2 linked regions of the Kluyveromyces lactis genome follow. The protein of the gene in region 2 interacts with the protein of the main gene of each other region in a biochemical or structural test. Links are inferred from orthologs where the notes say so. Each region holds a gene or a part of one and is shown on either strand. Other genes may lie near its edges.

Region 1 (5,539 bases), about 890 kb from region 2:
AGGAACAACATCCGCTGGAATCTAGAAAGGCCTGGCAACTTGTAGCTGCTGCAACGAAATCTGGTAATTTTGATCTGATTCATCAAGAAAAAACTAAGCTCGAAGAAAAGCAAAGAGAACTTAGAAGGGAGGAAGAAGCTAAGGGAATTGATTGGCAAAGAAGATGGTTCAAGGATTACGATTATTCCGAAAAAGATCCTGACACCTTTACCAAATTAGCCATCTTGGCAAATATATCAGTGAAGAACTTACCTAGTGGAACACTGGTTTCGGAAGAAAAGAAGGATGCAAATATGTTGCATTGGAGATTCGATCACGAAAGCTGGGATAAGGAAACAGAAATTAAACTTTGAGAATAATTCACGATGATGATAAAGTGTGTATTTCATTGGTTGTAAATCTCTTTTGATTCATTATCAACTTCAGTTGGATTATACTACATAACTACGTAAGCGCTAAATGTTAAATAAATTATTAGTCTTTTAACATATGCAAAGAAGAGATCCTTGTTTAAAGTAGTACCATCTATTATGTATGTACTTATGATTTAGGTGTATTAAATTGCAAATAATGTTACATCAATCTTCATCATAATTCTCGAGATTCAAACTAACCATTCTAGAAGAGTTATCTTCTTGTTCCCGGAATATACCAACTAGTGATTGGGATTTTTCAAACATAGCATTCTTCAACGATATAACGATGAACTGGGCATTTGGATTAGCATTCCGCTTAATATAATGTGCTATTCTTTCAACATTAGTGATGTCTAAAGCGGCATCTACTTCGTCCAATACAAAGAAAGGACTGGGTTGATATGAATTGATGGTGAACAACAAAGCTAAGGCGGCCATGGTTTTTTCACCACCAGAAAGATATTCCATATCCTTAAACCTTTTCAACGGTGGGGTCGCAAAGTATTTAATTCCGCCTAAATATGGTTCGTCCTCATTTTCAACTGTTAAAGAAGCATTACCACCGGCTAGTTCGGACTTATCATGTGGATTCTTGGTCAAAGCCCTGTAGATCTGATCAATGTGTTTATCAACATGTTTGAAACACGCTTCAAATAACTCTTTACGTTTAGCTTTGACTTCAAGAAATTTCTCTTTCGCTTTTCTTTCTTTATTCCTCAGTCTCTCATTCTCATTCGATACTTGATCTAATTTGTGTTTTGTCTCATCGTATCTTTGAACAGCTTTAGAATTAGGTTGTAGAATTTCTAATTTTTCTTCCACCTTTTTAATCTCCGATTCAAACTCTTCTTTCACTTCTTCGCCATCATTTAGCCTGTACTTCTCCGGTAAAGAAGTAAAATCATACTCGAGATCAGAGATTATACCTGTATTGTTAGAATCCAAAACATCAATGGAAATATCTTCTAACGACGAATCCAGTAGCGGTAGCTCTATGTTAGAGACTTTACAATTCTTCAGTATACCTAATTGTTCAAGGTCGAGTGTTTCAATATCTTCTTTGATTTCATCCACTTTTCGTCTTGCGGCTTGCATGCTCGATTGAATTTCTGCAATATTACTATCAAATGAAATTAGATTGTGCACTTTTTCATCTAGCTCCTTTTGTTGAATGGCTACCAGTTGTTGTTCTTGTGAAATTTTTGAGTCTGCATTCTTGATCTTTTCCGTTATTATGTCCTCTTGTTTCTCTAATGAACCCAGAGCCTCTTTCAATTTATCCATGTCAGATAAGGCTTTTGTATGACGTGCCGCAGTAGCTCCCAAACGGTCCTTTTCGAATTCCAATTTGTTCTCAATGGTGAGAATCTGTTTCTGGAACTGTTGAAGCTCCTTGGAGTGCTTTCTCATAATTTCGCCAGTACCTTGTTCATAGTCTTTAATTGAGAAGCCATATTTATCGGTGAAAGGTCTAAAAATCTGTTCTTGTAAAACATCTTTCTCACTTTCCAACTTAGTTAATTTGCTCTTCAATTCTTCGATACGTTGAGTGAAGGATTTAAGCTGAGGTTCGTATTCTGTAGTAATCAAATCCTCGTTATGCTTGATTTCGACATTTTTTCCACTTAAAGTTCTTTCAAGTTGGGTGATCTGAGTTCTCAAACTCGAAATCTCATTATTTAACAAAGATATTTCATTCTCCAGCTCTCTGGATTTCATGTTATCAGCTCTGAATTTGTCTGATAGCGCTGTCAATTCTTCGGTAATTTGATCTTTCAATACCATCAGTCCTTGGTATTCATCTTTATTCCATCTATTCTGGTTTTTCTGTGCCGTACCACCAGTCATTTGTCCAGCTTTATGTATTAAAGCACCATTCAATGTCACTAGTTTGGCCTTGACATTTCTTGACCACTTTAATTCTTTAGCTAGGTCTAGGTTATCACAAATAATAGAATCTGAGCACACATATTGCATTGCCTTCTCAAGGTAGCCTTCGTATTCGATAGCATTAATAGTCAAAAGGCAGCCTTGTACGTTCGACACCGGCAATGATGGTGGATTGACGTCGATTGTATCAAGAGGTATGAAAGACGCTGAACCGGCTCTTTGCTTTTTAAGGTACGTGATACATTCGTGTGCGGTAGCAATACTGTCGACTATAATGGAATCAAAGTTTTTACCAAGTATCGTTGATACTGCAATCGCATACTTCTCTTTTTTCGGATGACATAGATCGTGTACTAATCCTTTCACACCGGGATATAATCTCTTAAGCATAGAAACATTCTCTCTTAGTTTTCTTTCCTTCTTGGTCTCTCTTTGATCAGCGTTAAGATCGTCAATTTTCAGAAGTACGTCTCTCAAGCTAAAATTCAGTTCATATTCCTTATTCTTTAGGGACTCAAGATTAGTTTGAATACCTTTCCATTCTTTAGACTTAGCAGCTGCTATCGAGTTTTTATCATTCAACCTTTGTGTTACCTCGTTGAGATCTGCTTCTAAAGCATCGACATCGACCTGTAATTCGTCACTTATGCGTTCCCTGGTTGTTTTCAGTCTTTTGTTAATAAGTTCACTCTCTTCGTTTAGTTCAAACTCGTCGTTTTTTAAGATAGCCAACTTTTCCTCGATATGAGAGCCTCCAGAACTTAAATACTTCTCTTTCAATAGCTCATATTGTTTTAAATCTTCTTCAGATAAATTGAATTTATTGAGATTGGCATGAATATTTTCTAACTCTTTCTCAAACGACTTTTTTGTTTTAGAAACTACCTTCAGTTGATTTTCGAATTGTTTGACATAAGCTTGTTGCCTTTCCATATCTTTCTTGAATGAGGATATTCTTTTTTCCAAGTTATGTATTCTCTTGATGGTAGCTAACCTCTCGCTTCCAACAGGTAGTAAAGATGACTGTAACGATGTTTTTTCATTTTCTAACTGTACGAGCGTATCTTTCAACTTACTCAATTGCAGTTCATGTTTAGCCGTTGTGGATTTGATTTTGGTCAGTATTCTTTCTTCGTCTGAAAGCTTGTTCTTCAACGCAGTCGTTTCAGTTTTTGAAACTGTTAGAGAATCTACCAGTTTCTTCCTTCTTTTAAGGATATGGAATAGTTCCCATAAAATAAAGTTATGTTTCAACTGATCTCTAATTTCTAAACTCGTTCTATATTGCTCATCCCGTTGGACACCTTCTTTAAAACTTTTCAAATCGTTTTGCACTTTTTTCCTTGAATTATGAGCGTCTGTGAATTCAGCTAAAGCCAGCTTATGCTCTTCTTTCAATTTCTCATAATCATTCTTATAGTTTATAGATCCAGAAACCTGCTCCAATAATAGCGTCAATGATTCTGGTCCCTGAGAAGCGATTCTTTCGACATCACCTTGGAAAACCAAAAAGTTTTTCGCCTTGACCAAGATGTTTTCGGATTCTAATTCCTCGTTATATTTTTTATAGCTCACAGCTCTATCGTTGATTTTGTAAACGCTATCACCAGATGTATTGATGGTTCTTGTGAATTTTGTTGGTTCATCAAGATCATCTTTTTGATACACGCAACTGACATATGCACTTCTTGGTTCTTCCTCCGAATATGTGGCATTCTCTGGACCAGCTTCCGAATCAGCGTCGGATCGGTGCATTCTCTTAGCATTGCCGTTATCTGGATCGCCATTTTCAATTCTGCCCCTGTATATCAAATCTACAAGCGCCGATGACCTTAACTGATTACTTCTCACACCTAACACAAAGGAAATGGCATCCATCAGATTCGATTTACCAGAACCATTGGGCCCAATGATGCTGGTGAAGTAAGACTCACCAAAACCAACTTGCACCGTATCCTTATACGACTTGAAATTATGCAGCTCTAACCCGATAAGTCTACCCATCTTGGAACACGAATATCTCTACAAATCAGCGAAATAAAACAAAAAATGATCACAAGTTTATTAGGATAACTTGTACTGCAACTTCAATTATAAGCGGCTTGTTGCAGCTGATGTAGATGGTAAGCTGACCGAATAAGCTACCCATCCTTCAACTAACACGAAAAATCTTAATGTAAATAGATATAAACGCCTTTCTTATTTTCATTTTCTAAATATTGCATTGACGCGTTCGAACATATCCGGGTAACTTGGTGTTTCATTATGTAACTTAATTGGGAAGTTTCCGTTATAATCCGTCCATCCATAAAGAGGACGGAGGTGCTAGTTGCACCAAGGATGTACAGAAGACAAGATCGGTATGAAGCTGACACCCTGATATACAGTTCACACGTTCTGTGGTTTTTGAAATTCAATTCGTATTATATCGGTTTTTTTTTCTGGGGTTTTGCTTTAATTAACTGCATATGATGATATACTTATATGTATATTTATATGAGGATGTCTGAGATGGATGGAAAAGTCAGTATTTGGTTCTTTACACGCCTGTTTTCATCTGAACAGGCTCCAGTTGTGGGATGCTAGCGTAGGCATTGGACGTGTCTCTGTTGTTCATCAATCTGAAGAAGTACAGGTTGAATTTGTTAATATAGAAGATGGAGACCACGCTTAACAATATGTAAGTCATTTTCAAAATGGCTTTTGGTACATAACCCCAGTTTATGGTACGATACTGGATCACGATGTTGACTCCTAGTAGGAAAATGACACCGCAGCTCAACACAAGTACAAAAGCACTTACAATCAGACCTACTGATAGTTCTTGTGTTCTTAAGGCTTCCACGGTTAAATTTTCTTCAGACTGAGACCCAACTTGTTTGTTCCTCTGGCTAATTCTCGATGAGGATGATGACGCCGATGATGATCCTTCTTGCTGCAATGACATTTCAGTGTGTTGGAGGGGTATTTTGGGAGTGCTTAAGTGGGTAAAGATTCAGTCCAATCCAAGACGCTATGCTTGAGTAGGCACTGGAATGTTGCAAGAATAGGTGGACAAAATCGAAAGAGGTACTTATATTGTGTAAATTTGACATTTTTTTCAATGTGCAACTTACTTTTTTCCTCATCGCAAAACACACCCGATTAATTCCTTGGCATAATTTTCCACACCTAGGGATGACCCTATCTTGATAAGAAGACATAGATAGGTAAATGTTGAGAACTGTATATGT
Region 2 (7,493 bases):
ATGGTTTCGTCAATCTCATCAATTACTAGAGACATGGTACTCAAGAATTCGTAGAGCTCATAACTATCTCCGTAATCAATCTGACTCATGTTGTGCAATAAGAAAAGTAGCTCGGTGTTGCTAACAGAATGTGTTTTATAACATTCTGATATAGTAAGATTTTTGACAACACTTACGTATTTTTTGCCGTTTTTTTTGTTGTTGGATAATATGCACTGTAGGCGTTTCATGCAGTGATCTTTGCGCTCCAACTCTGATGGGAGCAGGCTCTTGAAAACAACACAGCACTTTTTAAATCCAGCGGCAAGACCGTTAAATACCATACTCTCATACTGTTCAAAAATCGTGGACAACAGTCTGGTCGACACTGTTTTTACTGAGTTCGCGTCTGAACATGAAAGAGCAATAAGTGTAGGAACAGCATGTGACGGATTGGTATAGTGAAAATTCAATGTGAGCTGTAGAAATTTGATGGCAACAATAGCATCTTTTATATCCGATAGCAAACATAAATCCATGATGCTGTCAAGGTATCTGGTAACTAATGCTGAACAGACGCCATCATTGACAGACTCGGTAGTGTTTTGTGTTGATATCAATCTCCTCATCTCTGAACTTGATGATATGGTACCGTTCGCCCCTATTTTCATTAATACTTTCTTTTCCTCACTAGAGAAGAACACTTGTAAACAGTCAATGATTGTCAGTTTAGTGTCTAGGACACCAGCTTCGAACTCATGATCTAAAACTTTTAGAACAGGTGGAGAGTTGAAGAGTTTGGGAAAAGATGACGCCAATTTCACTAGGTTCTTGATCGCAATTTTTCTCAGAGGAGTGGCTAGTTTCTTATTTGTGAACGTAAGAAGGCACTTTGTAACGTACTGGTACAAGTGTTCGTCACCTCTGAGAAATTCTAACCTTTTTTCGTTTTCCTTAAAATGACACATGCGAGCAAACCCAGTACATAAATAGATAAGTCTTTGGACTTTTCCATCAAGCTTCAAGGAACTTGGTGCGGTCACAGCCTGGGTTACATAGGGACGTAATTGCTCGATGCATGAGGCACATACTTTTAGAAGCTTATCTTCCTTTCTTGTTTTAGTTGAGGTCTCCCAACAAATTGCCAAAGCCTCTTCGATTTCTCTCGTATTGAGCTTTGAGAGTTTCGCAAGTAGGGTGGTTTCTAGATCGTGCAAAAATTTGAGCTTGATATTGCTATGTTTCTTAATGCAGGAGCGAAAGACCTTCAAAAGCAGTAAATAACATTTACCGTTAAAGTTTGACGAAAGATATGGAAAGAGTGAGTAGAGATGCGGTTTTGATATGAAATTGATCGGACAATTGGCAAAAAAATAAAGTAGGTCATATCTATTTCTTGCATTCGATTCACTCAGTTCGTCTGCAGATGCTGCATTCTCAGTAATCTCTTCAATAAGTACATTAACAAGATTTCTTAAAGCATCAAATATCGACTTCGTATCTTCATTCTTATGAATGGAGGGGTTCAATACGAAAAAATGAAAGAAGAACTCCAACAGTTCCTCAGTCTTGCCACCATAACCGATGAGTGTTGATAATAGCTCGAGGGTTTCTGATAAATCAAATCTATGCAGTTTTACGGACAAGTCAGATGCACTATGTCTCAAAATTAGTCTATGAAGTAATAGTTTCCTGGCATTTTCCACGATAACATCCTCTTCATCCTCAATTCGTCTCAAGACTTTTTCTAAAACGAATGTCTTTATTTTCAGGTCGGAACTTGTATCAAGAATCTTTTCATTCATCCGCATAACATGTTTTCGAACTGCTATACTGTCATCGTCAAAGTTACAGTTTATTTCTCGGTAGAATTGAATGTAGGTTGTGGCCTGCTCTAGAAGATCCAAAATTGCATCTCTAACGGAAGCCGAAGAGTCATAGAGTCTGTTTTTTATGGTTTCCTGAACAAAAGGAGTATCTAACATCTGAGGATCCTTTGATACTAATAGGGTCAAACATTTAACTGCTCCTGATTTAAGTTTTACTTTTTGTTGATCCAATAACGAAAGAATGAGCCTCAAAGCGGGTTCATAAAAGTTAAACAACGGACTAAGTGAAACAATTTTCATGTAAAGGGACCGAACTCTTTCATTACCATCGATACCATTATTTATTTCTTTCTCGCTTATTTCTTTCTCGCTTATTTCTGTCTCCCTTATTTCTTTTGCTATTATACGTATAACAAAATTCATTACCTGTGCGTCTGTTTTGTCTATCTCCTTCTGATCTAACATCTCACTGATATAAAAAAGTGATTCATTCCACAATGCTCTATCGGAAAAATATGTCTTGGTCTGCGAACCCAACCAATCGAAACACTCTTTGTACTCATTTTGCAAATTAAATATCCTTTTTACATCCCTACTTTCCTCGGATGCAGCCCTCAGTTTAACGTCTGTCAAAGTGGCAGTAATTTGGCCGACAAGTTGAATAGCAAGCACTTCGAAGTTTCCTGTTCCTTGATACGTAGGGCTGAATATCTGAAACAATTTCGGCAAAAAAGCTTCTAATAAATGATGAGAATACGCCCATTTCGGGTTTCCTATCATAGTTAGCAAATCTTGGATGTAAATCTCCACAATTGATTTGAATTTGAAAGGATTCGTAATCAATCCTTCGAATAAAGTTGTTGTGACGTTATCGATTAGTCCTTTCAATTCCAAACTTGCGGCATTATTCTCGGACAGTACATTTTCAAGCAATTCAGACGTAAAATCTGACAATAGCTCAGCATCAGGCAAAGCATTTATTGACTGGAACATGGCAACAAGGGCGACAGTAAAATACGATGCGTAGCCATTCTCAAATTCATCGACCAATTTCAGTTTTTTAGTGGATTTTGAGACTACTATATCATGCACGTGTGATAATAATTCTTCCGTAATAAATAGCCGCTGAGATGGATACTCAGAAAAAAGTGATATTAATATTCCAAGAGAAAGGTCTTTTATCCGCTCCGCTTGCGATAAAAGCACATTAGTGTTTAAGTGTTGATAGCATCTGTGTAGTAGCATATCACAGCAAATGCACACTGATTTGATCAAAAACATTTCGTCCAAGTATGATTGAGAGGCGACAAACTTTTCCAATAAATTGATGAATAAGAATATATTTCCAATATCTGCATTAATACCTCTTGAGTTGTCCGAAACATGTAACTTCTCGAGCGCATTATCAAGCGCTGAGAACACAGCATTGTAATATTCTTCTAACTGAAGGTTTGCGGATTTGAGATCTATCATCATAACTTCAAGAATTAAAAATGCGCAACCAAACGTAAGGTTATTCAGATCTAAGGACTCAGATTCATTGTCTGATTGATATGCTAGGATTCTTTTGATATTTCTAGTGCAAAGACCCAGTATTTTTTTAAGAGATTGAACATCAATATACTCAAATACCATCGGAAATCCTAGAACTTTATTTATCGTCAACGATATTGCATCTATAGCCTCCGAAGTAGCAACGTAAACATCACCTAATGGCTTCCAGAATTTAGCGTTTTCATTAACACTCCCTTCAGAATTGAGTCCGACAGAATCTAACAATTTCGAAAGATGATCAAGACAAAGTTTTCCAACTTCCAAGTCATTCATCGGATTAGATTGTACACAAATTTGAATCCGTTTGGAATCCAGCTCATTCAGCAATACCTTGTCTTCCCCTGCTTCTAGCCTTCTTTTTTTAGTAGCTGTGTTCTGATTTCCAGCAACATTCGCAACAATACTAGCAGAATCGACCAGGCTTGTAACAGTCAGGCACCTGATTCCTAGCTGTGGAAGATTTTTCAGAAGCTTCAGATCAGGAGCAGTTTCTTGAGACTCATCTCTTAAAGTAATATTATTGGGTCTCCTGAATAAAATGGGGTCCCTGTCGCCTTCGTTAAATGGGTCGAAATCGATAGGGTGAGGGTATAGCCAATGTTCAGATGGGGGTGAACCGAACGCACTGTTACATGAAATACTGATATCTTCGGTTATTGAAGAACTCAGCAAATTAGATAGCCCTGACTTCGGTACTATGTGGTTAATTGGCTGGTACTTCAGTGTTTCAGAGATGCGTTTGGGAATCTCATTGTCAGTTTCGCCTGGAAACCCTTTCGCCATAGCCGCCACTGCTCAGTAATCAGAATATTACTGGAAAGGCAGTATTATTTGAAGAAGATGATAATGCCCAGAGAAAAGCAGATGAAATAGAGCTTCCGGGTGTAAACTATCTGCTGTTGCTTCTTTCAACTTGATGAAATCGTTTGACCGTTCATTGCTGTAGAGATCTAGTATTCGTCTCATTAATTATTTATATATCTATTCGGCTTTCTTGATTTGAAAAAGGCTGCTGCAGTTTTGAGAAAAATATCATGAGAATGATGAGGGAAGCATAAGTAGTCATGAATGTAGCTGAGAGGAGAAAACCGTTAGTTCCTGTACATCTGCATTGCTTAAATCATAGTACTAATTGATATGCTACGTAGAGGCTTCATAAAACAACCCCCTTTCGTGAAGATCTTTAAAATCGTCTCCCCGGAGTCGACAAACGCTAAGGCTACACATTGTGAAGTGGAATTCCCTTTAAAAGTACAAGAGCTCTGGCGTGACAAGCACCACGTAATTTTTAATAAGCCACCCTTGGCCCTTTCTCAATTACCTGACAAACGAACGTGGTACAATACTCACGACTATGATCCCCCAGTGTTATTGGATATTGTTCAAAGCTCTAGTGGAAGCATCCTGAAGGACGGTACATATGAACCATCGTACTACCCCATCCACAGGATTGACACACCAGTATCCGGTGGAATAGTATATGCTGTAAACAAACAGTCAGCACAACAATTTAGTCGAAATCTAAGGTATGGCGGGAATAAAGGATTCTCACTAACTAGAAAGTATGTCGCAAAAGTTGGAAAATCTAAGACTGCGAATGAGTGTAAAGAAGGTCTCATAAAGTGGAATGGTGCAATCACATATTTTCAGCGTGTCGACAATGAACACCTAATTTTACAGTTGGTAACTGGGAAGAAGCATCAGATACGGAAACTTACACAGCAAGTTCTTGATTCGCCAATTTATAATGACTTGAAATACGGTGGTAAGAAGGTTTTTGACAGTGACTTTCAAATCGCATTACATTCAGCTTATATACGGACAAAAATTGGTTTTAATATACATGAGCAAATCATTCCCGTTCCAGACGGTTTTAGAATGATATGGGGAGAATCTGTAGACCAAAATGGGAACTTCAATGAAGATATAACCCGAGTTTTGAAGGAAGATTGGGCTGGAACAATCAAGGAATGTTTGAAGAAGCTGAAAATACAGGAAACGAAGTTAGCAGATAATCAACTAATCTTTGTATCATGAATTGGTTGATTTTTCTATCATATGCCAAAGCATCTATAACTAAGTCGCAGTCGTTTGAATCAATGCCCAAAATCTTGTCAATATACATTTTTCGGCAAACTTGATTTAATGCTGTTGAAGCTTCCTTCTTCATAATCACGAATTCACTTGCGCTTGGTGCAGTCTTGACAGGACCCATTTTGTTGTCATGAGGAAAGAGCAAATGTCGTACTTTCAAGCTGGAGGAAATCAGCCACTCTCCACTGAGCACCCTCTGTGTCACAATGTTTTGGAATATTTGAGATGCTATATTTGAAACAAAGGCAATCTTGGTGCCAAAAAATTGGGAAACTTTGAACGCTAAAAACAGTAGTGGTTTTCTCGTTTCTAACTGAAAACACTCATTCATGGCAGAAAAGAAATAGTGATTGAAAAATCCACTGTCGGGTTGATCAATTCTTCGAAGAACGTGATTAGTAGTTACCTCTTTATTGCTCAATTGAAAAGTGGACCATAATTTATGCATCATTTTTTGAATCCAGTTTTTTCTATCCCTTAGCTTACAGTTCTCTGCCTTTTCCCTGAGAAGACTCTCGCAGATAGATTTTACTATGTCTATCACTATGAATGGCTCTGCAATCTTCTCAGTCAACTTGTCTAGTAAAAAATCACCGAAGAAATCTCGTAAAAAGGCATTATGCAATCTTGAACCACTACTGAATCTCTCAACTATAATTTCAGCAATCGCATGGGGGTAAGTATGTTTGTATAATTGTAGCTGGTAAAAGTCATCTAATAACAACTGTTCTTGTAGCACTCTTCTCATTATCTTAACTTGTGTTTCTACAAATAAGGGTAAATCATCACATATTACTTGCTCCCACAAAATATTTGTATTATGAATATCATCTAACACATCATCAACAAGTTCATACAGATGTACTAAAAGCTCGGTGTCCGATGTTACAATTTTCTCCCCGTACCATGAGGTAACGAAGTTTTTCAATAGTAGTACCAAGATGGCATGTAAAGGAAGTTTCCAATCAGGACATCGAAAGATCTGCGAATGGATTTCCGTCGGATAAACTGAACAACATAGTTCTATGAGATACTCTCTTGAGTCCTTATTCTGTTCTGATATGAACGGAGCGTCGTTCGTGTTGATCTTTGTATTTAGCTGCTCTGCATTGATCTTGGTTTTGCGCTGGAATCTTGATAGCTGCTTCGAATTTGAGCTGTATAATATCGTCGGCATTACGGCTTAACCAGTTTAGAGCTGACACAACCTCAATTCTTCAGTCTTATTTGACAATGTTTAACCTTTTATTTCTCAATGGAACGACCATCCTTTTTTTGTTTGACATTCACGTTTTGTTGATGTTTTTGGTAGAAATATTCTATTGCTCCCAAACCTTAGCCATAACAGAAAAACCTTAATTGTACAAGCGCAGCGGGAAAAAAAAAAAATACCTTCAACTCATTCGAGTTTAGAGTCCATAGCACAATTACTCCCAGCACTTCATCAATTAGGAAATCTTTGGTGGCTCATGATGCGTGAACTGCTACGTAACTTGATAGAAGACAAAACGGTAATAAACTATAAGAAATGGTGGATGGAATGTAAAGATGCCCAAGAAACCAAGTTATTGGCTATTCTTTGTTTTTACGATATTGATGACTTACCGGAAGAGACTACAGCAGGTCTTGATAAGTTCGTCCTGGATAAGTTACGTGTTCTATCGCTATTAAGTCTCTGTGAATTATCTACTGAAGTGAATTACCAAGAGATTAAAGAGAAATGCGATTTAAAGACTGATGGAGAGGTGGAAAAGCTGCTCATACGTGCGGAGCTGTTTGTAGATTTGAAAATTGACAGTGTAGCAAGAAGGGCTACGGTACTGGAATATAAAATCAGTAGGGACGTCTACAGTGGTGAAAAGGGAGTACCTTTCCATACTCCTGTAAGGTCCAAAATCAACATTCTTTCTGCGTTGATTAACTGGAGAAGCTCGCTTACTGACTAAGTAAAATGATTTAAGCCCGATAATTCTGCATTACGGCGGTTCCGGTAAATTTATTTTAACGGATGGTTTTAATTGAACTCTAATTAAAAAT

The links.
Region 1: the proteins of SCC2 (region 2) and SMC1 are reported together in a solved structure, tested with the Saccharomyces cerevisiae proteins (2 studies listed by BioGRID, with this or other methods). The link is inferred for Kluyveromyces lactis from reciprocal best matches to the Saccharomyces cerevisiae genes SCC2 and SMC1.

The regions. Positions count from the first base shown.
Region 1 is NC_006040.1:642,173-647,711, forward strand, and holds SMC1 (cohesin subunit SMC1), read right to left. Parts: upstream 4,311-5,539; coding exon 579-4,310; downstream 1-578. Other genes in the region: oxysterol-binding protein related protein HES1, read left to right, coding at 1-353; KLLA0_D07524g (uncharacterized protein), read right to left, coding at 4,846-5,253. UniProt on the Saccharomyces cerevisiae protein: Involved in chromosome cohesion during cell cycle and in DNA repair. Central component of cohesin complex. The cohesin complex is required for the cohesion of sister chromatids after DNA replication.
Region 2 is NC_006040.1:1,530,234-1,537,726, reverse strand, and holds the start of SCC2 (cohesin-loading factor complex subunit SCC2), read right to left. Parts: upstream 4,146-7,493; coding exon 1-4,145. Other genes in the region: pseudouridine synthase PUS5, read left to right, coding at 4,500-5,399; NVJ3 (Nvj3p), read right to left, coding at 5,326-6,633; CSN9 (Csn9p), read left to right, coding at 6,926-7,402. UniProt on the Saccharomyces cerevisiae protein: Plays a structural role in chromatin and is involved in sister chromatid cohesion. Forms a complex with SCC4 required for the stable association of the cohesin complex with chromatin, which may act by hydrolyzing ATP from SMC1 and SMC3 heads.